2 linked regions of the Rattus norvegicus genome follow. The protein of the gene in region 1 interacts with the protein of each later gene in a biochemical or structural test. Links are inferred from orthologs where the notes say so. Each region holds a gene or a part of one and is shown on either strand. Other genes may lie near its edges.

Region 1 (11,159 bases):
GCCTTAGAGGCTGTCTCAGAGACCACATCGGCATATAAGACCCAAGTTCAAACCATGCTCTGCCACTTGGTGTTTTTGTAACTTGAGACAGCTTACTCACCCTCACTAAGCTTTAAGTCACTCATCCTAAAAGCAGAACAGTGCTTTACAGAGTTTCATCAGCTCCTAGCTGTAAGATATGCAAAAAGATATGCCTAGCACTCCACACATGGCTCCCACTGGACATGTCCCAGGTCATCCTTAGTGTGTCAGTAATTCACTTTCAATGTGACTCGAACTTACTTTGTCCTCACATACATCATTTCCTAGAAATACCTAAATATCCTTTTTTTTTTTTTTGGGTGGGGGGGAAGAAACAATCTCATCATCTCCCAAACTCCAAGTCTTAGACAAAATGTACAACTAAGAAGATATTAATGATTTTCAAGGTCCATTTTATCATCAATCCCTGCACCCTTTTTCTTGATATATTCTAAAAGTGACTCTTAAAAAAATCCAAACTGGGGGCTGGGGATTTAGCTCAGTGGTAGAGCGCTTACCTAGGAAGCGCAAGGCCCTGGGTTCGGTCCCCAGCTCCGAAAAAAAGAAAAAAAAATCCAAACTGAAGGTCTATTTTTCTCCTTAATTTCCACAGATCATAACTACCCTAGCCTACAAGTACATTGACCTTGTGATTAGATTCCAAAACAAAGTCAAGTTACGTTTTTTTAAAACTTCCTAAATATCTTATTCCTGGTTTTTTCTTTTTATGTCACCATGACTCAGTAACTCACCATTCACTAGAAATTTTTTTCCCCAACAGATCCTCCTGTTTCAGTAACTTTTCGTGAGCTTTCAGCCTTCTCTTCTCTGTCTTTTATGAAGGAACTTGGATGTTGACCACCATGAGTTCCAATCCAAGACGCAGAAACCTAAGATTGAGATTCAGGGATGTTAAGTGTAACCGGAATGATGATGACGATGAAGACTCATATGAGATTTATCAACCTCTTGAACCTACATCCATGACAACTCGGAAAATTCATGATTCTGTGGAAAATGACTTTGGCATAGAAAACGAAGATGATGATTACCAGTACGAACTGGCGTCAACACTAGGAATTAGGTCATTCAGAAAGTCATTGTTGAATCCGAAGGAAGACGAGTTCAATCTCACTGCTCTCGCTCTAGAAAACAGCTCTGAATTCATATCTCTAAGCACAGACGGAGTTGTTGACTCAAAATCCTCAAGAAACCTTAGTAAGATCACCAATAATAACCTCAACGACTCTCAAAGAACACTTTCTGGCTCAGGAGCCACCATAGCTGGTATCCTACTTGGAAACCTTACTGGCTTAGGTAAGAACTCCGTCCTCAACCCTTCAACAGAATATCATTCCAGCTCATATTATGAAAATGATATGGAAGACCCACAGTCGAACATCACAGTGGTATACCTACTTCCTCTTGGTGCAAAAGGATCAGGGAGTCGAGAACAGACTAAACCTAAAACAATCAAGACAGGAAGACCCCACAGGATGAAGCACAGGTTCTCCTGGATGAAAGCTCCAGCCGGAAAAACTGGGAGGCATTCAAATCCAAAGAATACTTCTTCCAGAATGAAGTCTGAGGAGGACATTCCTAGTGATTTGTTACTCTTAAAACAAAAGGTCGCATCCAAACTTTTGAACAGACAGTGGCATATGGCTTCTGAAAAGGGTAGTTATGAAATAATACCAGCAAATGGTGAAAACACAGATATTGATAAGCTGACAAACAGTCCTCAAAATCAGAATATCTCAACGCCTTGGGGAGCTAGCACCTCTCGCATAAACACGACAGGGAAGCCAAGTAACCTCCCAACATTTTCTAGATTTAGGCATAAATCTCCACATGTAAGACAGGAGGAGGAAAGCGGTGACTTTAAGAAAAGACAGTTGTTCATCAGGACACGGAAGAAGAAGAAGAACAGGAAGTTTGCACTACACAGTCCTCTGTCTCCAAGGGGCTTTTACCATCCGAGAAGAGAAGACCATCCTCCACTTTTAGATAGAAGACTACTCAATCATTCATTACTACTCCACAAATCCAATGAAACAGCTCTTTCCACAGATCTGAATCAGACCTCCCCTCCAGTGAGTACTGACAGGTCACTTCCTGACTATAATCAGAACCCTTCAAATGATACTGAGCAGATGAGCTCTTCTTTAGACCTTTTTCAGTCAGTGCCACCAGAGGAACACTCTCCAACATTTCCTACCCAAGATCCTAATCAAACACACTCTACCACAGATCCTAGCTACAGATCCTCTCCTCCAGAGCCCAGTCAAGGGATCGATTATGACCTAAGCCATGAATTTTATTCTGATGACATTAGTCAAACATCTTTCTTTCCAGACCAAAGTCAAAAGTCACCTCTCACTTCAGATGATGGCCAAGCAATCCCTTCCTCAGACTTAAATCTCTTTACCATCTCTCCAGAATTGGATCAAACAATTATTTACCCAGACCTGGATCAGTTGTTCCTTTCTCCAGATGACATCCAGAAGACCTCCTCCCAAGACCTGGGTCAGGTGACCCTTTCTCCAGATGAAAACCAAGAGACCTCCTCCCAAGACCTGGGTCAGGTGACCCTTTCTCCAAATGAAAACCAAGAGACCTCCTCCCAAGACCTGGGTCAGGTGACCCTTTCTCCAGATGACATCCAGGAGACCTCCTCCCAAGACCTGGGTCAGGTGACCCTTTCTCCAGATGAAAACCAAGAGACCTCCTCCCCAGACCTGGGTCAGGTGCCCCTTACCCCAGATGACAACCAGAAGACTTCCCCAGACCTAGGTCAGGTGCTCCTTTCTCTAGATGACAAGCAGAAGACTTACTTCCTAGACCCAGGTCAGGTACCCATCTCCTCAGACCAAAGCTGGGAGACCTCCTCCACTGACCTTAGCCTACTGACTCTCTCTCCGAAATTTGGTCAGACAGTCATTTCCCCAGACTTGGATAAGATGCCCCTCTCTTCAGACAACAGTCAAGTTACCCTTTCCCCAGACCTCAGCCTCTTGACCCTCTCACCAGATTTTAATGAGATAATACTATCCCCAGACATTGATCAGGTGACCCTCTCTCCAGACCTCATCCAGACAAGCCCTGCTCTTAATCACAGGCACAAAACATCCTCTGCAGACCCTGGTCAAGCATCCTACCCCCCAGATTCTGGTCAGTCTTCACCTCTTCCAGAACTGAATCAGACTCTTCCTCATCCAGACCTCATTCACATGCAGCCTCCTTTACTATCTCCCACACCTAATGACACTTCTTTGTCAAAGACATTTAACCCCCTTGTTGTAGTAGGTCTCAGTAGAGTTGATGGAGACGATGTTGAGATGATTCCAAGTGAGGAGCTAGAGAGCATTGACGAAGATTATCCTGAGGATGACTATGTAACCTACAATGACCCCTACAAAACAGACACCAGGGCAAATGTCAACTCCTCCAGAAACCCTGACACTATTGCAGCATGGTATCTCCGTAGCTTCGGTGGGAACAAAAAATTCTACTATATTGCTGCTGAAGAAATATCCTGGGATTATTCAAAATTTGCACCAAGGTTTGACTAGTTTTCTCTTTACACTCTCATTCTTTGTCACCACTGCTATGAAAATCACCTACATTTCTTTGGGGATAATTTTGAACAAATGATACTTCATATAATCTGAGTCTCCAGTGATAGTTCCTTTGTCATTTCCAATATTAGCTTCTACATTTTAGGTGACACCCAAGCAAAACAAGAGCCATTACTATGGAAGTCTGTGGTATCCCATCTGTCCATTTATATTTTGTTACCTGTATCTTGAGGATCCTATCATGAGAATCCTTGCTCAGACCAGTGTCTAAAAACTTAGGGATAATTATGCTTTAGCAAAATCAAAACTCAGAATGTCCACTCTTAAGGTAAAGGACACTTATCCATAGACTTTTTATACATACTGTAGAAATACTATACTATAGGACTATTATAGGAATTTGCTGTCTAGACTATAGTAATACTATGTAAGTTTAATAAATGAGATTTGACATAGCCCAAAAGATCCTAGGAAGTCTTACCTAAGAAAATATATTTGAGCAGGGAATTAGGATATATGTAATCACCTGTGTTTCAATTACATATATTTACTAGCTCATAGATGGAATGGTCATTAAATATTCTATGCTAGTTACCAGATTATTTCTTAAGTTCTTTTCAATTTTTTAATTTTTATTTTATATGTATTTTGGATACCGGCATGTATGTATGTGAGCCATGTGTGTGCCTGGCACCCTCAAATGCCAGAACATCCATTATATTATATTATATTATATTATATTATATTATATTATATTATATATTTATTTTATGTTATATATTAATATATATTAATAACTAGAACTGGAGTTACAAGTGGTTGTAAGCGTCCCAAAGTAGGTGCTGGGAACCAAACTTGGATACCCTTAACAATTGAACTATTTCTTCTTTTAAATGGATACTATTGCTGTCATTTTAGTGAAATGGACAATGAAGAAACAGACAACACTCCAAAGGACACCACATACAAGAAAGTTGTTTTCAGAAAATACCTTGATAGTACTTTCACAAGCCGTGATCCTCAGGGGGAATATGAGGAGCACCTTGGCATTCTTGGCCCTGTAATACGTGCTGAAGTGGATGATGTGATCCAAGTAAGTCTCATGTGAACCTCCTAGATCCTCAGGAAACTTACCACAAGCACCAAAACATTGCTAAGGTATCAGCAACCTGGGAAGTGATTGGCTTCCCAGAATTAACAAATAACAGCATTCTTTCCTCACAAAGACAGCCTGGCTATTTGACAATTTTTGAACTACAGAAAAGATCTTACCCTTCTTAACAGTGAAAATGATTTAATCTGGAAGAAATAGCACTGAGATTTCTAGCTGAAGCCAGCCTGTCTTGAACTAACCTGGAAAATGGCTGAAGTAGGGATGGCAATAGCATTGATTTATAAATATGTCCCAATACTTTCTTAAGAGACAAGATAAATGAAAAGGAAACTAGGAATCAGAGAAAAGATGTCTCTCCACCATAAATGAGTGAGCAAGTTTCTTAAGTATCTTACCAGATTTAGTCATTGATTGCTTTCAAAATCCTGTATCTAGTTCCCAGACAGTAGCTTATTTTTATTGTTGTAGGGTATCTGGGCAGCCAGAATTCAAATTGGGAGTCTTTATTAAGCAAGCTAGCGACTGCCTGGTGAGAAACACTTTCAGAGAGCAGCCCCGCAGAATGCATATTTTAGGGAGTTGTTAAAGACAAAGAGCATAGAAAAGCTACATCCTGATTGGCAGTTGCAGAAGGAAGCAAGCAAGCAGTTTAACAGAAGCCAAGCACATGCAGTTAGCTGGGTTTCTACAACAGTGTTGGATGCTTTCCCACATGACTTTTCAGGGTATGCCTTAGAAACCAAAGATGACTTCAGCTGAGACAAGATGGAGAAACCTTTACCCTGTTACATTGTAACAGAGTTTAGCTCCCCCGTACTTCCTCGCCTCTCACATATCAAACAAAACAAATTAATAATAATAACAATAAACAAACAAAACACACGAGAAAATGCTGTGGATCTAAAGTAAACCATTCTGTGTCCAAAGACATAACATTTTATTGGTGTGAATATTTGCCAAATTGTCAATGGCCATTTGCTCTTTTCCAAAGGGCACACAGAGGGTGGGGGAGATGACTCAGTAGGTAAAGAGTAACCACTCAGCATGTGATACGCAAGACCCTGTCCTTGAACTCCAACACATCAAGACCAATCAATCATAAAAGATAATGGGAATCTGTTTTAGTCAGCTTTCTGTTGCTGTGGTAAAACTCAAGATAACCCAAAGGAGGAAAAACTTTTATCCCATGATTTCATCCATGATTGCTTGACTCCTTTACTTTGGGTCCTCCACTGAGGCTGGACAAGATGGCTGCTTACCTCATGGTGGCTAGAACTTAAAGAGAAAGAAAGGGATGTGCCACTGCCCTGAGATTGCTTCAGGGCATGCTCCAGGTAGCCTGTCTTCTTTCTTTCTTTCTTTCTTTCTTTCTTTCTTTCTTTCTTTCTTTCTTTCCTTCTTTCTTTCTTTCTTTCTTTCTTTTTTTTATTCCTTTCTTTCTTTCTTTCTTCCTTTCTTTCTTTCTTTGACCCAATTGATAAGATATAATTGCCCACCTTAACATACAAAGCCCAGTACACATCCATCCTTTAAGAACATTAATAACAACCTGTAAATACATAGAGTGGAATCTTTACGTCAGCTTCCATTTTTCTCTCTGCCGTGATTAACCTCTCTGTCCCTCCTGTCTCCTCTTTCTGTTCCAGTCTCCTCCTCTTCCTTCAAACTTTTCTCCTGCCTATCCTTCCTTCTCATCCAATGACAGGCCTCCTTCTAACCTGTACCTGCCCTCACCTGTATTTTACAAATTAAATGGGGAGAAGGGGTGAAGTCACCTGAGACCTGAGTACGTGACTAGGCAGCCGTCCTTGAGCAATGGAATCAGCATCAAGATATAGATAACTCCAGGGCAAATCACAACACCTCCCCCTTTTTATCCAGTTAAAAGGCCTTTTCACTTATATGAAAATTGAGTACAATTATTACCATTCTACAATTTATAAAACACACTCAACACCCAGCCCATCAATTTTATCCATTAACTAAAGCACCTTGTCACCTATCCTAAAAGACTATAATTCTATACCTGACTTATATCTTGGTTTGAGATCGTATGCCATCTGAAAAACCACCCTTTCAAATGTATTATCCTTCTCAATGCTAAACAGCTTGGGTTGTCTACAAGACTACCAGTTTTCAACCACATCAGAAATCTTTGAATGACCAAATATCTATACACATAGAAAGTCTAACACAGCTTGCAGAACTGAGAGGTTGTAGAGACAAATCTCCACTAGCACAGTCCTCTGTTAGCAACATGTGAGTGCAAGTCTTTGTCCTTCTGGCCCCAAATCAACTGACAGACTCTTGAAATGCTGAGTTTTGAAGGGTTGATCACCTTGTCTTGGCAGAGCTTATCAGTCAACTATTCTGCATAATGTGTCCTTTTCTGGACAGCATTAGTCTGCAGATGAAATAGGCAGTTTTGTTCAATGGCTTCCTAGCCACAAAGTATTGCCTCACCTGGAGATAGAGATGTGCAAATTCTTCATTAAATCTGCCAAAGGGGAACTGTTAGGAGCAGCTACGTCTCAACAAAAGATAAATAACTTTAAGTCTCAAATTTTGTGGATTTCTGACATTTTTGAAAACCATCTATATAAGACAATCTGGACTGTTGTCTTTATATCTTAATATTATCTTGAAAGTACTCTCACAAAGTCAGAGCCATGAATTTGCTATTTGGCCCTTAACTCACATGTGTAATCAACTCAGAAGTTTGTAATGACATCACAGAAGGACTGGCTCTAAACCTTGTACTTTTAAACTTTTTTGATGAATAAATTCTATACCAAAGCAAAGATGTGATTTTAGCTTAGTTACCAAATGAGATTATGACTGTACAATTCAATCTTGCTAATTCCTCTCTGTTAAAGTACAACCAATTTTAAATTCCTAATAAAGACAACTTTAGAATAACTGCTTTCAGCCCCCCCCAAAAGTCCAGGGAATTGGAGTGATGACTCCTCCATAACTTCTTCAAGCTGTACATGGGCGTTGAGATATCCTTAAGGGTATGGGTTAGGGAAAATGAAGCAAATGCTGTAGCCGCTGTGTCCTGACTGGATCCAGCTGAAAGTCCTTGAGACCAGGAATCCAAGTAGGCACACTCTGCAAATTGTAAATACACAGAGTGGAATCTTTACATCAGCTTCCATTTTCTCTCTGTCGTGGCTGATCTCCCCTGTCTTCTTTTATTAAGCACATGGCCTCACATGCTAAAGGTTTTACCTCCCAAAAGTGTCACAGGCTGGTAACTAAGCCATTGTCAACACATGGTTTGGGGGGGGGGGACAAAACAGTAATAGGACTCTTAATAGTTCTATACATCCCCTGAAAACATACGGAGCTTTCTGTCAAGTGATTGGTCACTAGAAATTACAGAGGAAAATGACCAGAAGATTCCCCCATGAGCCTGATGACTCTATGCCTAGTCTCAGCTGTCATTTTCTAACCTCATTTGTCACCAGGGGCTTAGTCTATCTGTGCATTTCCCAACCTAGCCACAGACAGGCTTTCCCTGCAGACATCTTTCTGCTCTTCTGGGAATCTAAAATGACCATGTTCTGATTTGTTCGTTTTACAAGGGCCAATCCCATTTTTCTTAAGAACCTTTCCATCGTTCTTCCAAATTCTCCTAAACATTCAGCTGTGTTTCCAAGGCAGCACCCTCCCAAACCCATTTACACTCTATGCACAGCATCTGTTATATCCAGATTCGTGCTTTGGGTTCACTCACGTCTCTCTCTTCACTAGTAATACAAAAGCTTATTACGATCAAGAGCCATGCTTTATTCAGGTTCAAATCTCACTTGTGGATACGTTAGGTTTTGTTGCTGTGACAAAATATACAGGGGAAACGATTTTAAACGGTAAGATTTCTTTTGGCTTAGGGGATTGAGTGCTTTCAGTTTATAGTTACCTGCCCACCATCTCTGTGGGACTGGGTTAAGGCACAGAGTATCATGGTAGGAGGCATGTGGCGAAATGTAGCTGTGGAGTCCTGGAAGCAGACAAGAAAAAGAAGGGACCAGGCAGATGATAGATATGTCAAGAGTGTGCCCCAACGAGCCTCTTCCTACCTAGGTTCAACCTCCTGGTTTTCACCACCTTCCAATAATATAATCAAATTATGAATCTGCCATCCTATTTATCTGTTGGCCAGAGCCCTCATGGTATAATCACTATCCTGAAGTCCCAAACAAGCTCTCAACACATGAGTCTGGAACAGACAGTTCAAGTCATTAGAGAAGTAACTTAGGATTGAACTGTAGCTTGAGCCTAAGAGCACATTTTTGTGTTTTGAAGGTAAGTTGGTCAGGGCCTAACTCATGTGATCATTGGTAAAATAGATCAAATAATATGCATTAATTAGGTTGCAATTATAGGCACCCAGTATACCCTAGCTCTGATATCGTAACTGCCTGTCACAGCCTGTATCGTTGTGGTTTTAGTTTGGTGTTGCTTGCTATGTTAATACATTTGTAGGTCACTCTTCTCTCTCTCTCTCTCTCTCTCTCTAGGTTCGATTTAAAAATTTAGCATCCAGACCATATTCTCTTCATGCCCATGGACTTTCCTATGAAAAGTCCTCAGAGGGAAAGAATTACGAAGATGACTCTCCTAAATGGTTTCAGGAAGATGATGCTGTCCAGCCCAATAGCAGTTACACATATGTATGGCATGCCACTGAGCGCGCGGGACCAGAGAACCCCGGTTCTGCCTGCCGGGCTTGGGTCTACTATTCTGCAGTGGATGTGGTAGGTTTCAGTTCTGACCTCTCCCTCATCATATAGCCCCAGTTCACCTTTTCTTGTTAAAAGTCTCTCCTGTGAGGTGTGCGGTGGGGACACATGCCTTTAATCTCAGCACTCAGGAGGCAGAGGCAGGTGGATGTGAGTTTGAAGACAGCCTGGTCTACAGAGTGATTTTCAGGACAGCCAGGGCTACACAGGGAAACCCTGTCTTGAAACCTAACACCTCCCATGACCAAAAAAAGAGCCTCTCCTGCTCGTTATGGGGCACAAGAAAGGGCTACCATCCACAGTGTGCCTACCATGGCCTCAGATTCTCCCGACAGTTCATCAGAAATGGCACAGAGAAAAGCGTTCATCCGCGGATGTTATGGGGATTGCATAAATGAGGTGTGTACACAGAGAAACGTGCTCTTTAACAATTTGAAAGTAGTTTAGTCTTAAGTCAGGCTTTTGGAGACTGCAGGGAGTCAGGAGACAAGGAAAGTATTGAGCCAACCGTGTGGGCACAGATCACAGGCTGGCTTTGGGAGTTTAAGGAGCAATGTTTTTCCCTGCTCCAATTAAGCCAGGAGGAGATTCAATTTGTTACTTAATGAATACCCTTTGCTAATAAAGAATTTTTTTTTGTATTTTGATAATAAGTCAACCCCATTCTGAGTTAAATAAGGACACAGGGAGTAGACTGCTGTGTTCCCAGAAAAATAATCCAGGCACATTCCACCCGGAACAGCTCCCACAGGAAGGTAGGAGTCACTGGCTTCTCTAGATGAACTGTGCTGACCGTGGTAAGCTGTGCCAAGCCCCTGTCCTCTTGGCTGGCCTTGGGCACCTAGGAGAGCCAGAGGGATGCCAGCATCCATGCAGTGCCTTCTGCACGCTCAGCTGCCTTCTTTCTCCTTGACCGTGAGACAGAGAGACAGACCTTTGCACAGTAAGAAACCCAGACAAGAGGTGGCTGAGGACTCTTCCCAGGTTCACAGCCAAACAAAACACAGAGCCCTCTACCTGGCAAAGGGCAGCCGCGGTTCCAGTTTGCCCTCAAACACAGATTTCTTTGCTAAGACAAGGTATCTGGGGTTCCCTTTTGTCCCTGGACCAGTGGTTTGGGCTGATTTCTACCAGGGTCGGGGAAGTCAAAGATGTATACTTTGTGGAAGCAAGTGAAGGGGTCAAGGACATCACAGGCCTAGTGTTGACCCCACCTCTTATGAAAGTTCCCAAGGAGCCTCCTGAACTTAGTGCCACAAGAAAAACTATGCTGGTCTCTGACCATGTGGGACCTCCCTGAACACCATGCTCCCGGGGAAAGGCACCCATCATGAAACCCAGGGCAGCCAGGTGGGTGTGTTGTAATGACTCATCTGTACCACAACACAGCAAGGCTCAGTTAGTCTCAGGCAAGGCTGAGGGGAACAAGGCCTGGCCACCTGACTCCTGCACCACTCTGTCATGGAGGAAGCAATTTCCCACTTATTGTACCACACACATACCCAGCCCTCTGGGCACAGCCGGATGGTTTGACGTTCTTTTTGAGCTTTTAGAAGGTGTTCACTGGAAATTTAAGGGTCTTCACTTATCATTCCGTAATATATACAGTGTTCAAAACCACATGCTACATGTAGTAAATGCACATGTGCTTTTTAGCATATTTAGTGAGAGAGAGAGAAACAGAGGGGGGAGGGACAGAGA
Region 2 (11,159 bases), on another chromosome or scaffold:
CTCTCTCACAGGCAAACCCAAAACCTAGAGTCCAAAGAGCATGAACTGAAACCATAAACTAAATTAAAAGCCACACCTTTCTGAGTTGTCACCTGCTTTGTGAAATGAAAACTGACTAACACATCTAAAAAGAACCACACAAGACACTTTGCCCATTTGAGTTGGGTGTCTAACATTCTTTTCATCTCCAAATCTAGCTATCTTTATATCTGTGATTTGCTCCATCTCACAGTGCAGGTGTCCAAAGAAGGACAATGTTTGACAAATTGTGTGCTCCCCACAAATCCATGAATACAGGAGTTTTTTTTTTATTGCCCCCCTAGCTTTTTGCATCTAGAAAGTGCTCAGGATCTGTGTTTGTGTTAGACAAGAGCTGGACGAGAGTACTGAACTTGAGAGGAACAAAAGATTTGAGACAAGTGGCTCAGTTGACTTCTATTATTACATAGCTTAGGAATTTCAGCCCGAGGGAGAAGTTATTTAGCAGCGTTCATCCAAGTCTTCACACAATGACATTTAGATAGGAATGGCTTCCTATCTTCTCTTACAGGGAAACCCTGGGTGGAAAATAAATTATGGTCTGTGATCTCTAGCAGCTACTTGGCCATTAGCTCCACCTCTAAGCCATTAATGCACCATCTCCACAGATCAACATCCTCACTGTGGATAAATTATCGAGGTATTATTACCCTTCTCTACTCTTTCCTTCTCTTTCTCCATTGTCTATTTCTGTTGGGTTTTCTCTCTCTCTCTTTCTTTCTTTCTTTCTTTCTTTCTTTCTTCCCATCCTTTTTTCTTTGCTTTTTACTTTGTGTAGTTGGCACAGAGAGCTTTGTGCTCTGTTCACAGATAAACACTAATGAAACTAGGAATGTTAAACATGCTTCAAAGGAGAAAAGACTGGGAATGGGAATGGTTAACGGCCTCTTGACATCCATACTATCAGTATGGCCAGGCTGGACCAACCTCTCCCAGACTCTTTCTTACCTTAGTCATCCTCTCTAGATTCGTATCTTTGGCATTGTTTCTCAGTCAGTCTACACAATCCATTTTTAAGGGAGATGTCACATGTACTTTACGAACAGGAGCATCAGAGAAGACAGTTGGAAAGACAGGACTGGACTGTAGGGAAATTTAATAGAAATCCACATGTGTCTTCATTCAGTCCACAGCTCACTAAACTTTCATTGGGAATTCATTTCTCCCTCCTTAGTAATCCTCTGCAAAGGTTGATTTCTCTGTTACTGACCTTACCAAACTCAGACTCTCTTAGAATCTCTTGTGCATGAGTCAGCTCCTCTGGAGTAAATACACCATAGTAGAAGTAAGATATTTTTCTCTCCTGTTTTTCAAGACAATCTCTAGTTCAACATTCAATGTACATGAGCGAGATAATGATGCAATTTTCATAGTTCAATATTATCACACTATCTTGGTCATATTAATATGTATCAAAGCCTCACAGGACTCTGACACAGACAAGTTCACCTTACCATTGTACTCTGAAAACACAAGCACAAAATAGGTAGACACTGATACTTTCATAGCCAATCCAATTTTTCAAAGATAAGGTCTCTGGAAATTTGAACATTGCTATATCAGGTAACCTGTGTGACTGACCATCAAAGCAGTCTCCTTGAGGAGGGAAGGACTGATATGAGAGCCCTGACAGAAGCTACACTGCTTTCATTTCCTAAGACAACCTGGAAAAAAAACAACTGAAACTCCAACGACTGCGAATCTGAGAGTTGTTCATCAAGCCCAGATGAGTGTTATTTCCTAGATTCGTGTGTATGTATCGCAAATATGTATATGTATATATATATTATATATATATATATATATATATATATATATATATATATATTATCCTATATTCCTCACTGTACATAGGAAAGTTTTTCCTTCTGATACAAAATCTGGAATTGATCTCCAGCACTGCCTACATGTATAGCATTATTAAATGAGAAGTACAGAATCTCCAAAATGTGATTTATTTGTGCCTTTGTTTTATTAACAGATTTTAACTAATTATGTATAATTTTGTGTTTTGCTATCTCATTTCATGCATGTACAAAATGTATTTTGATCATATTCACTGTTTTATTCCTCAGTGTTGAGTGTGTGTGTGTGTGTGTGTGTGTGTGTGTGTGTGTGTGTGTAGTGCGTGGGGGTCATGCAAATGTGGAGACACAGGGTACCTTTCTTTTTTTGCTTGCCTTCTTAATTTTTGAGATACTATTTCTTACCAGACCTTGAGGTATTTTCTGCTGGATTGGCAGCCACTCAGCCCCTGTAATCTACCTGTTTCTGTTTCACTCCACCAATTCTGTGTGTTGAAATACAGGGAACTACACCTGGCATTTTGTGACTACCAAGGACCCTAATGCAATTTGTTCTCTTGATTGTACAACACCAACTTAATCCCCTCAGACATCATCTTGGTCCCATCCTTCTCTTTTATACCAGCCTAATCAGTAGTCACCTACTATTCTTCATCCTATGTAGCAGGAGAAAAGTTGCACCCCACCACAACCCACACAATGTGCAGCACGTTAATGGTACTCAGGGTGTTTTTACTCTTGCTCTCCTTCCCTTTCTGAGCCCCACTCTACAACCAACATAACCATTCACCAAGGATTTCCAATTTCCAGTCTTTCAGCTGGAGTTCTACTATGCTGTGTGAAGACTTAGACATCTGTTATCTAATTCTAGGCTATGAGTAGTTAAAATGAAGAAACTGCTCATGTATTTTAAAAATATGTATCCTTTTATTATGTTTCATGTGATGCAAAATATCTACAGTAAAATAAAATTCAATTTCTCAGATAGCAATGACGTACCTGATACACACCTGAAATGATCATCAACTCAGGAGCGACAAAGCAGCCTGACACTTGCAATGCACTATCAGCAAATATTTGACAATCTTACCTTCGTGTTTCTTTCATTACAAAGCTGGAACATGTAACATTATCGAACATCTGTCTTGTCATTATCGCTTTGTTAAAAAATCTACTTTTGGTCACATTTTTAACTTCAACAATCCCATTCAAACCACCTATAGTTGTTAAAATCCAATGTGAAGGACAACTATGAATTTACTGATGTATTCACTCTCCTTCCCACCATTAAGAACAGCTGCCTTTCTGACTCTGACCTTATGTGCTCTAAACAGCCTAGGTTGAGTGATGTGCGCGCCCAATGTTCACACCCCCCTTACAGCATAACCTGATGTCTTGGAGAGAAACCAATGCCTTTGAGACAACATTCAGGTGTTGCTCCAGTGAAAATGTGCCCCTGGTCTCTAATTCGGTGAAGGTGTTGGCTCAAGTGTAAAGTCAAGTGAAAGAAAAATGAAGCCTAAACTAGGCGCTCCCCACACCTCGGAATTACTTTAGAATAAAGCTTTGAGACCTTCCTTCCAATTCTCATGCAGTATGCTATCAGCTCTGTCGCTGTCGTGGGCAAAAAGCAACAACAAAAATACAGTGTCGCTCTCCAACTGTTAGCATTTAGTCCCATGAGCTTTTGTTTCGGTTTAACTGATTCGTCTTCTGAGAAAAACAGAACATTTAAATACTAGTTCCATGACGATGAATCTTACCTTTAAAATAAAAAAAAAAAAAAACTAAAGCCGTGTCATTTATAGGAAATAAATTGAAATTTAAATGTTTCATGTGTTTTGTTATTTAATTTCTAGACAGCAGTGAGTACAAGACTTTTCAAAAATGCGACTTATATAACAAAAATCTGAAGGACAAAGTACCACATCATATTTAAACATGCATATAACACATGTAATCCTGCCATTTGGTGATGGAAACATGAACAAGAGCATAATTACAATATGAAAAGAGAGATTAGAAGCCCAGGAAACAGACTTTAGAAGTTCTTCTGGATTTTCCTCACTGACGGACAGGAGTGAGCTCTAATGTCATTATGTTTGGAAATGGCTTCATCCAGATCCAACTGTACCCCGTTGATGTTCACTTCCATGCAGCCGCTGTAAAAAGCATTCACTGGTGTGGCACTGAAGGAAATATCTGTGGAAACAGTGTCTGACGATTAACCCGATACTTCTGCATCTCATTTGTTTACAGTTAAAAGAATTATTCAGACTTCATAAATTCCAAACAAATTCCTACAGGAAAAATTACTAATGTGAATCTATTCAGCAATGTTATGTTGGGCATGGAGGTCAGCGTATGAGTCCTTCTGATTTCATAACTGCTATCATTGCCAACCAAACTAAAGGGAAATGTTCACACTTGAAGAGGAGGAGAGAGTATATGCTTATGATATTCCACATTTACTATAAAATAATATATGTTGGCTTCTTTTTAAATGCGAGCAACATCTCTGAGTGATTTGACCACCTCTTCGACTCGAAATTGTGGGGGCTTAGAAATCCTTTTAGAATGCCATGGCAAACATACCCTTGTATAATTTCTGAAATAAAAACTGGTTTTTCATATTTATCAAGAAATAGTTGCTGGCTGAGCATAAAAGCAAGTCATAATAAGGGACTGACTTTTATGTGATACTATTGTCCCGCAGAACAAAGTTTTGGATTGCTCCTAAGTGAGTCATTTGAGGTCATTGATGCCTTTGGGCTTCGCTGCATTGGAATCCCATTACCAGGGTTTGTCCTAGTTGTCGATTTAGCTTCTTTGTCTCCTTAGAACTACAGTCCAAGACACCTTCCACTCTTTTGGCATTTCCTCCTTATGGATTTGAATTTACAGTGAACATCTCTTGTGCTTCTTTCTCAAAGCATATTATGCCAAAAATATATACCTTAAAATTTCTAAAGACAGTGACAAAATCTGTATCTAGGAGCTAAATGCATATTTTAGGAATCCTCTTCAATCCTGGCTGATGTCCCTGACATTATATATACATTATTTTAACCACAGTGTTATCACTCATTATGACATGGCCCCCAAGAGTATATATAATAACTACATATTATAAACAAAAGTTAGTTTTTAAAAAAATCTTTAAATCAATTTTCTTTTAATTATCATTTATCAAAAGCAATTTAAACATGACTAATTTGTATATAAGTAATTTATTCAAGCAGTGGTGGTGCACAGCTTTAATCCCAGAACTCAGAAGGTGAATGCAGGTAGATCTCTGAGATCAAAGCCAGCCTGGTCTACAGGATGAGTTCCGGTACAGCCAGGACTACACAGAGAAACCCTGTTTTAAAAAACCAAGTTTGGCCGAATGGCTGAGAAGCACCTAAAGAAATGTTCAACATCTTTAGTCATAAGGGAAATGCAAATCAAAACAACCCTGAGATTCCACTTCACACAAGTCAGAATGGCTAAGATCAAAAACTCAGGTGACAATAGATGCTGGCGAGGATGTGGAGAAAGAGGAAAACTCCTCCATTGTTGGTGGGATTGCAAGCTGGTCAAACCACTCGGGAAATCAGTCTGCAGATTCCTCAGAAAAGTGGACATAGTACTACTTGAGAAACCAGCTATACCACTCCTGGGTATATACCCAAAAGATGCTCCAACAGGTAACAAAGACACATGCTCCACTATGTTCATAGCAGCCTTATTTATAATACCCAGAAGCTGGAAAGAATTCAGATGTCCCTCAACAAAGGAATGGATACAGAAAATGTGGTATATTTACACAGTGGAGTACTACTCAGCTATCAAAAACAATGGCTTTATGAAATTCATAGGCAAATGGATTGAACTAGAAAATATCATCCTGAGTGAGGTAACCCAATCACAAAAAGGCACACATGGCATGTACTCACTGATAAGTGAATATTAACCCCTAAAGTTTGAATTACCCAAGATACAATCCACAGACCACATGAAGCTCAAGAAAGACCACCAAAGTGAGGATGCTTCAGTCCTTCTTAGAAGGGGGAACAAAATTATTCATAGGAGGAAATATGGAGATGAAGTTTGGAGCAGAGACTGAAGGAAAGGCCATCCAGAGACTGCCCTACCTGGGGATCCAGCCCATATACATACAACCACCAAGTCCAGACAATATTGCTGAGGCTAAGAAGTGCATGCTGACAGGAGCCTGATATAACTGTCTCCAGAGAGGTTCTGCCAGAGCCTGACAAATATAGAGACGGATGCTCATAGCCAACCATTGAACTGAAAATGGTGTCCCCAATGGAGGAGTTAGAGAAAGGATTGAAGGAACTGAAGGGGTTTGCAACCCCATAAGAACAAGGATGCCAGCCAACCAGAGCTCCCAGGGACTAAGCCACTACCCAAAGACTATACATGGACTGACCCTGGACTCCAACTGCATAGGTAGCAATGAATAGCCTAATTAGGGCACCAGTGGAATGGGAAGCCCTTGGTCCTGCCAAGACTGAACCCCCAGTGAACATGATTGTTGGGGGGAAGGCAGTAATGGGGGGAGGATGGGGAGGGGAACACCCAAATAAAAGGGGAGGGGGGGGCTAGGGGGATGTTGGCCTGGAAACTGGGAGAGGGAATAACAATTGAAATGTAAATAAGAAATACCCAATTTAATAAAGATGGAGAAAAAATTAAAAAAAGAAAGAAAAACCAAGTTTTGAAAAAGAAGAAGAAATAACATATTTGTTTGATAGTTTATATTCTAAAATATTTCAATTTTAGTTTCCTCTCAAGTTTGCCTCAATCTTTCTTTAAATTCAACTACTGTGTTATTAAAAATTTTGTATTTTTATATCTTTTCAATAAATTCATTGTTTATTTGATTTCCTAAAAATGCATTCAGCTAATTTGTGAGTAACTCTCAATACAGCCTCAGTTCACCCAATTTCACTGCTGTCATGCTTCCTAATAACTAACCAGACTGGTAACTTGGACTCTATATCCCTTTTCTACCTGTAACGTTTGAAACCCCTTTCCTTCCATGCCCCAAAATACTAGAAAGGAGGTCCACATATGTGGCATTAACCTTGAGCATTTAGAGTGTAAAAAATCAAGGTTGTTAAGATTCCCAACTCAGAATTCTCCAAAAAAGAGTAATCTATGAGCAGGACTGAAAGAAAAAAAATGATCCTAAATATCTTTGTGCCCTTTTTTTTTTATTTGACATTTAAAGTAACATGTTGATGCTAATGTCAGAGGTCCAATATTAAGTTAAACATGAACCTGAGTTTCCTCCAATTTTCCCCACTTTGAAAATGTAATCCTATCACAAAACTATTAATGTCAGAGTTATCCTTTGCTTACCTGTATTCTGGTTATGAAATTATACTGATTTTACTTCTAGATCTCTATTGGATTCACTTGATTCAATGAAGAATGCTACTACCACCCTAGTCCAAAGCTTCCTTTTTGCCAGGTGAACCTTCCATATCACTATTATGAACAATAAAATAATTGAAATATTGGATAGGTTTGGCCCCTATAGACTCATGTTTTGAATGTTTGGCCTGTAGGGAGTGACACTATTAGAAGGTGTGTCTTTGTTAGAATAAGTATGGCCTTTCTGGAGAAAGTGTGTCATTGTGGGGTTGGGCATTGAAGTCCTATGCTTAAGCTCTGCTCGTGGCAGAAAAGACCCTTCCTCCTAGATGGCTGTGGAATACTCCCCTCCTGGCTACCTTCTGTTCAAGATGTTGAACTCTCAGCAACTTCTCCAGCTCCATATCTGCCTACACACTGCCATGTTTCCTGTACCAGACCCAATTAAATGTTGTCATTTATAAGAGTTGCCTTGGTCATGGTGTCTCTTCCCAGCAACGAAACAGAAACTAAGACAAGGACCCTGTATGGTATGAAGACTACCATGCACTGGTAGAGGTACTGTGATGTTGACAATATTATCACTATGTCCTCAGGCTATCCTATAGCCCCTGAACTCAATTGAATTATACATACTTAGGCTTTCCCCACTTGGAATTATTCATCCAGAATTAAAATTTGAAATTATAATATTTATATGCCCTAACTTGTTTTAAACACTGTAATGACACTCACGTCTTCCACAACAAAACCCTAACTCAAGTCTGTAAGTCACCCATTTAGCCATTTTATAGACTCATCCTGCACTACCTCCTGTCTCAGATTGCCTTAGTCATCCTCTCATATTCATCTATGCACACACACTGACCATTCTACCTATATACACTGCAGTATCCACCCATCTCTACCACCTAGTTAAGTTTACTTAAGTCTTTAAATGCCAGAGAGATAGATAAATTGATAGATGATCTTTTATTCAGAGAGATTGTTCCTGGCCCTGTCCTCAACACCAAGTCAAGTCCTTATTTTTATGCTCTAAACTTGATTTGTAATTACTTGCTTTCATAGAATTCATTATAATTTTAATTATTTTGAAACCTCTTTACTGAGTTGCTGCATGTCTACCTCCTCAACTAAACTTTAAAAGCCCCAGTTGCAGCAACTATAACTTTTTGCTTATTTGGGTTTATGCTCTTAATGGATGAATTAAATGTAGAGTAAACAAACATACTAGTGATGAATAAACTCAATAAGTGTTTACCTTACAACATTATCATGAGACTGGGATTAAATGACATAAAGTGTAAGGGATATTTCAAGTTTGTCTTCATTTTTCAATGCCTTGTTACTAAAATTCCAGGTTTAAGATATTATTGATTTGACCAGGCATAGTAGTATATGTCTTTAATCCCAGCACTCATGAAGCAGAGGTAGGTGGATCTCTGAGTTCAAAAGGCCAGTCTCATCTACATAGTGAGTTCCAGGACAGCCAGAACTATGAACAAGATATTTCATTCAAAACATGCTTGTAGAACTGAAGAAAAATACCTGGAACGCCACCCAGGTAAGTGGCCACGGTTCCTTTCATTGTTTTGTCCAAGATGGCGAGTTGCCTTTGGAGATCTTTAGAGTAAATGACGTCTTTTCTAACTGGGGTCCACAGTTCCAGTCCATTTCTGTTAATGTTACATTTCAGCTGGGATGGCTGTTCCGAGCACAGAGTTATGGCTTCTAAGTGAGCTGCTACTGAATTTTCAACAAATACCAGAATGTCCTAAACAGAAGAGCAAAGACTTCATATAAACAACACTGAAGGCAAAGCCACTTAGGGATGACTTTGTGTTTTGGAAACTCCAACCTAAATTTCAACAAAAGAAAAAAATGATAGAGACTCTACATTTAAATGTAAAGTTGCTTAAATTTTAATAATTAATTTTCAAGCATCAATTTGTTTTACAAGCTCTGTGTATAAGACATAATATATGCTGAATTCTGAAGATTCAATTCCATCATCTGAGTTGGGTGGCCAAACAGAAGAAAGTAACATGATGTGCCTAAGTCATACTTAGGTCTCCAAGTCTCCCTAATTTCAAAAGTTACATATGAAAAAGGTAGAGTGAACTTTGTGTTGAGGAAATTGGAGTTCTTTAGTACACATTGAAGGGTCATCCAAGTTATCACACAGACCAAGGACAATGTGATGAAAGAGGCCTGAGAAAGAGACCTGCATTATGAGCCTCACTTACAGTAGGAAGCTGAAGTCTCAAAAAAGAGAAGTGTTTTATTTTGCTGGAACTTTCAAAATATTCGACTTGTTGGGAGTGACCTCTGTTGCTAACTTAAGATGGTGAAGAGGAAATTAAACCAAAATAGAGAATACTATGATGCTTCCCATACAGTAAATGTAGTCTAAAATGGCCTCTTAGGTTAAGATATTTATGGTGAGAGGGAAAAGACTATACTTCTTGACTGCAGATTACTTAAGGGAATCTTTAACTTTACAAATACTCATATCCTTAAGTCATTAAAAGAGAAAGCCAAGTCGGGTATTTGGTTAATTCCTTTAATCACTGCACTCTGCAATTGGGAGGCAGAAAGCAAGTGGATTTCTGTGAGTCTATGGCCAGCCTGATCTACATAGATCAGTTTAGCCAGGGATACATAGAAAAACTGATGGTGGGGCTTAGCGTAGAGGTTACTTAACAGAAACTCACTTCGAATTATACTCTAATTTGCAAAGTGAACCCTCTGTTTTTGTTGATTACAGTTCAAACAAGAAATCCAATCTTTGCATAAATGTAAGCTTTTTGCAATGCATACGTGCAGTACATAAACAGAAAGCTATTAGCACTACTAGAAATTGGAATAGCATAGATCTCCTAAGAAAGTTTGTTTTTCTTTGTATCAAAGACTCTCCTTTTCTCCCTAATTTTAAACTGGAGTTAGCAAAAAAGAAATCAAGTGGGACAGTTTCAATTCTCTCTTCTTTTCTTCTGAATCACTCAAAGGGTAAAAGATAAACAAGTGCAAAAGAGAACAAACAATGGTATACTACACAGTCGAGAGTGGACTGTTATCATGTCCTTATTCTATATGCAGATGAATTTCCATACTCCTTCACAGATTCTGTCTCGGTAGAGTTCTAGGCACTTTGTCATACCTCCAAGCAGCTTGTGTATGAATCTACCAAACCAAAGATCCAGAAGTTAAGGTTTCTCAGTACCCCAATATTGTCTATTCCTTGCAAATCAGTCAACAAGTCAGGAAATAAAAGAGATTCATCTAGGTTGGAAATAAGGTTACCTGAGAAGTTCCAGAGCCAGAATCCACCAAGGACAAGGCAAAGGGCACTGTGTCCCCAGAAACTAAAGCAAGCATGACTCCAGTGCCAGTGGACGGGCGAATATTCAAGGTCACATTTATTTGCCAACCCTCTGCATTAGTTACATTATCTATTCAAAAATGATAAAATGAGACAGAAAATATTTGTTTCAGTTACAATTGGGACAACAATAATTGTTATAATCTGGTTAATATTCACAGGTAGTTTCTGAAGTGCTAAAAACTTTAATGCTTTCTCTCAATGACATACATTACCTAAGCAAATCAAAAGATGGTTGTTTTATTTGCTAAATGCAAGTGGTGTCCCCACATTTCCATTCTTCCAAGAGAAAGACTCTGCACTGTGGTAAGGAGTACTCCACACTTGCCATTTCCTCTTTAACAACTCTTCATTTCATGCAAATTCACCAGTGTTCAGACCTCAGAGTGGTCAGACCTTACAGCACAGATTTATAAGGAAGTTTAATAGATTTCCTGTATTCTTTCTGAGAAAAAAAATAGGGGTACAGAAGTAACTGCACCCCATCATCACTAATTCTACAGCAATGGAAACAAAAAATATGTTCTATATACAGAGAAAGGTAGATA

Evidence for each region.
Region 2: the proteins of F5 (region 1) and Pros1 form a complex in vitro, tested with the Homo sapiens proteins (2 studies listed by BioGRID). The link is inferred for Rattus norvegicus from reciprocal best matches to the Homo sapiens genes F5 and PROS1.

The regions. Positions count from the first base shown.
Region 1 is NC_086031.1:79,084,495-79,095,653, forward strand, and holds part of F5 (coagulation factor V precursor), read left to right. Parts: intron 1-864; coding exon 865-3,583; intron 3,584-4,517; coding exon 4,518-4,692; intron 4,693-9,236; coding exon 9,237-9,473; intron 9,474-11,159. UniProt on the Homo sapiens protein: Central regulator of hemostasis. It serves as a critical cofactor for the prothrombinase activity of factor Xa that results in the activation of prothrombin to thrombin.
Region 2 is NC_086029.1:13,749,449-13,760,607, reverse strand, and holds the end of Pros1 (vitamin K-dependent protein S precursor), read right to left. Parts: intron 11,008-11,159; exon of another isoform or gene 10,827-11,007; intron 10,682-10,826; coding exon 10,533-10,681; intron 9,004-10,532; coding exon 8,778-9,003; intron 4,047-8,777; coding exon 3,886-4,046; 3' UTR 2,750-3,885; downstream 1-2,749. UniProt on the Homo sapiens protein: Anticoagulant plasma protein; it is a cofactor to activated protein C in the degradation of coagulation factors Va and VIIIa. It helps to prevent coagulation and stimulating fibrinolysis.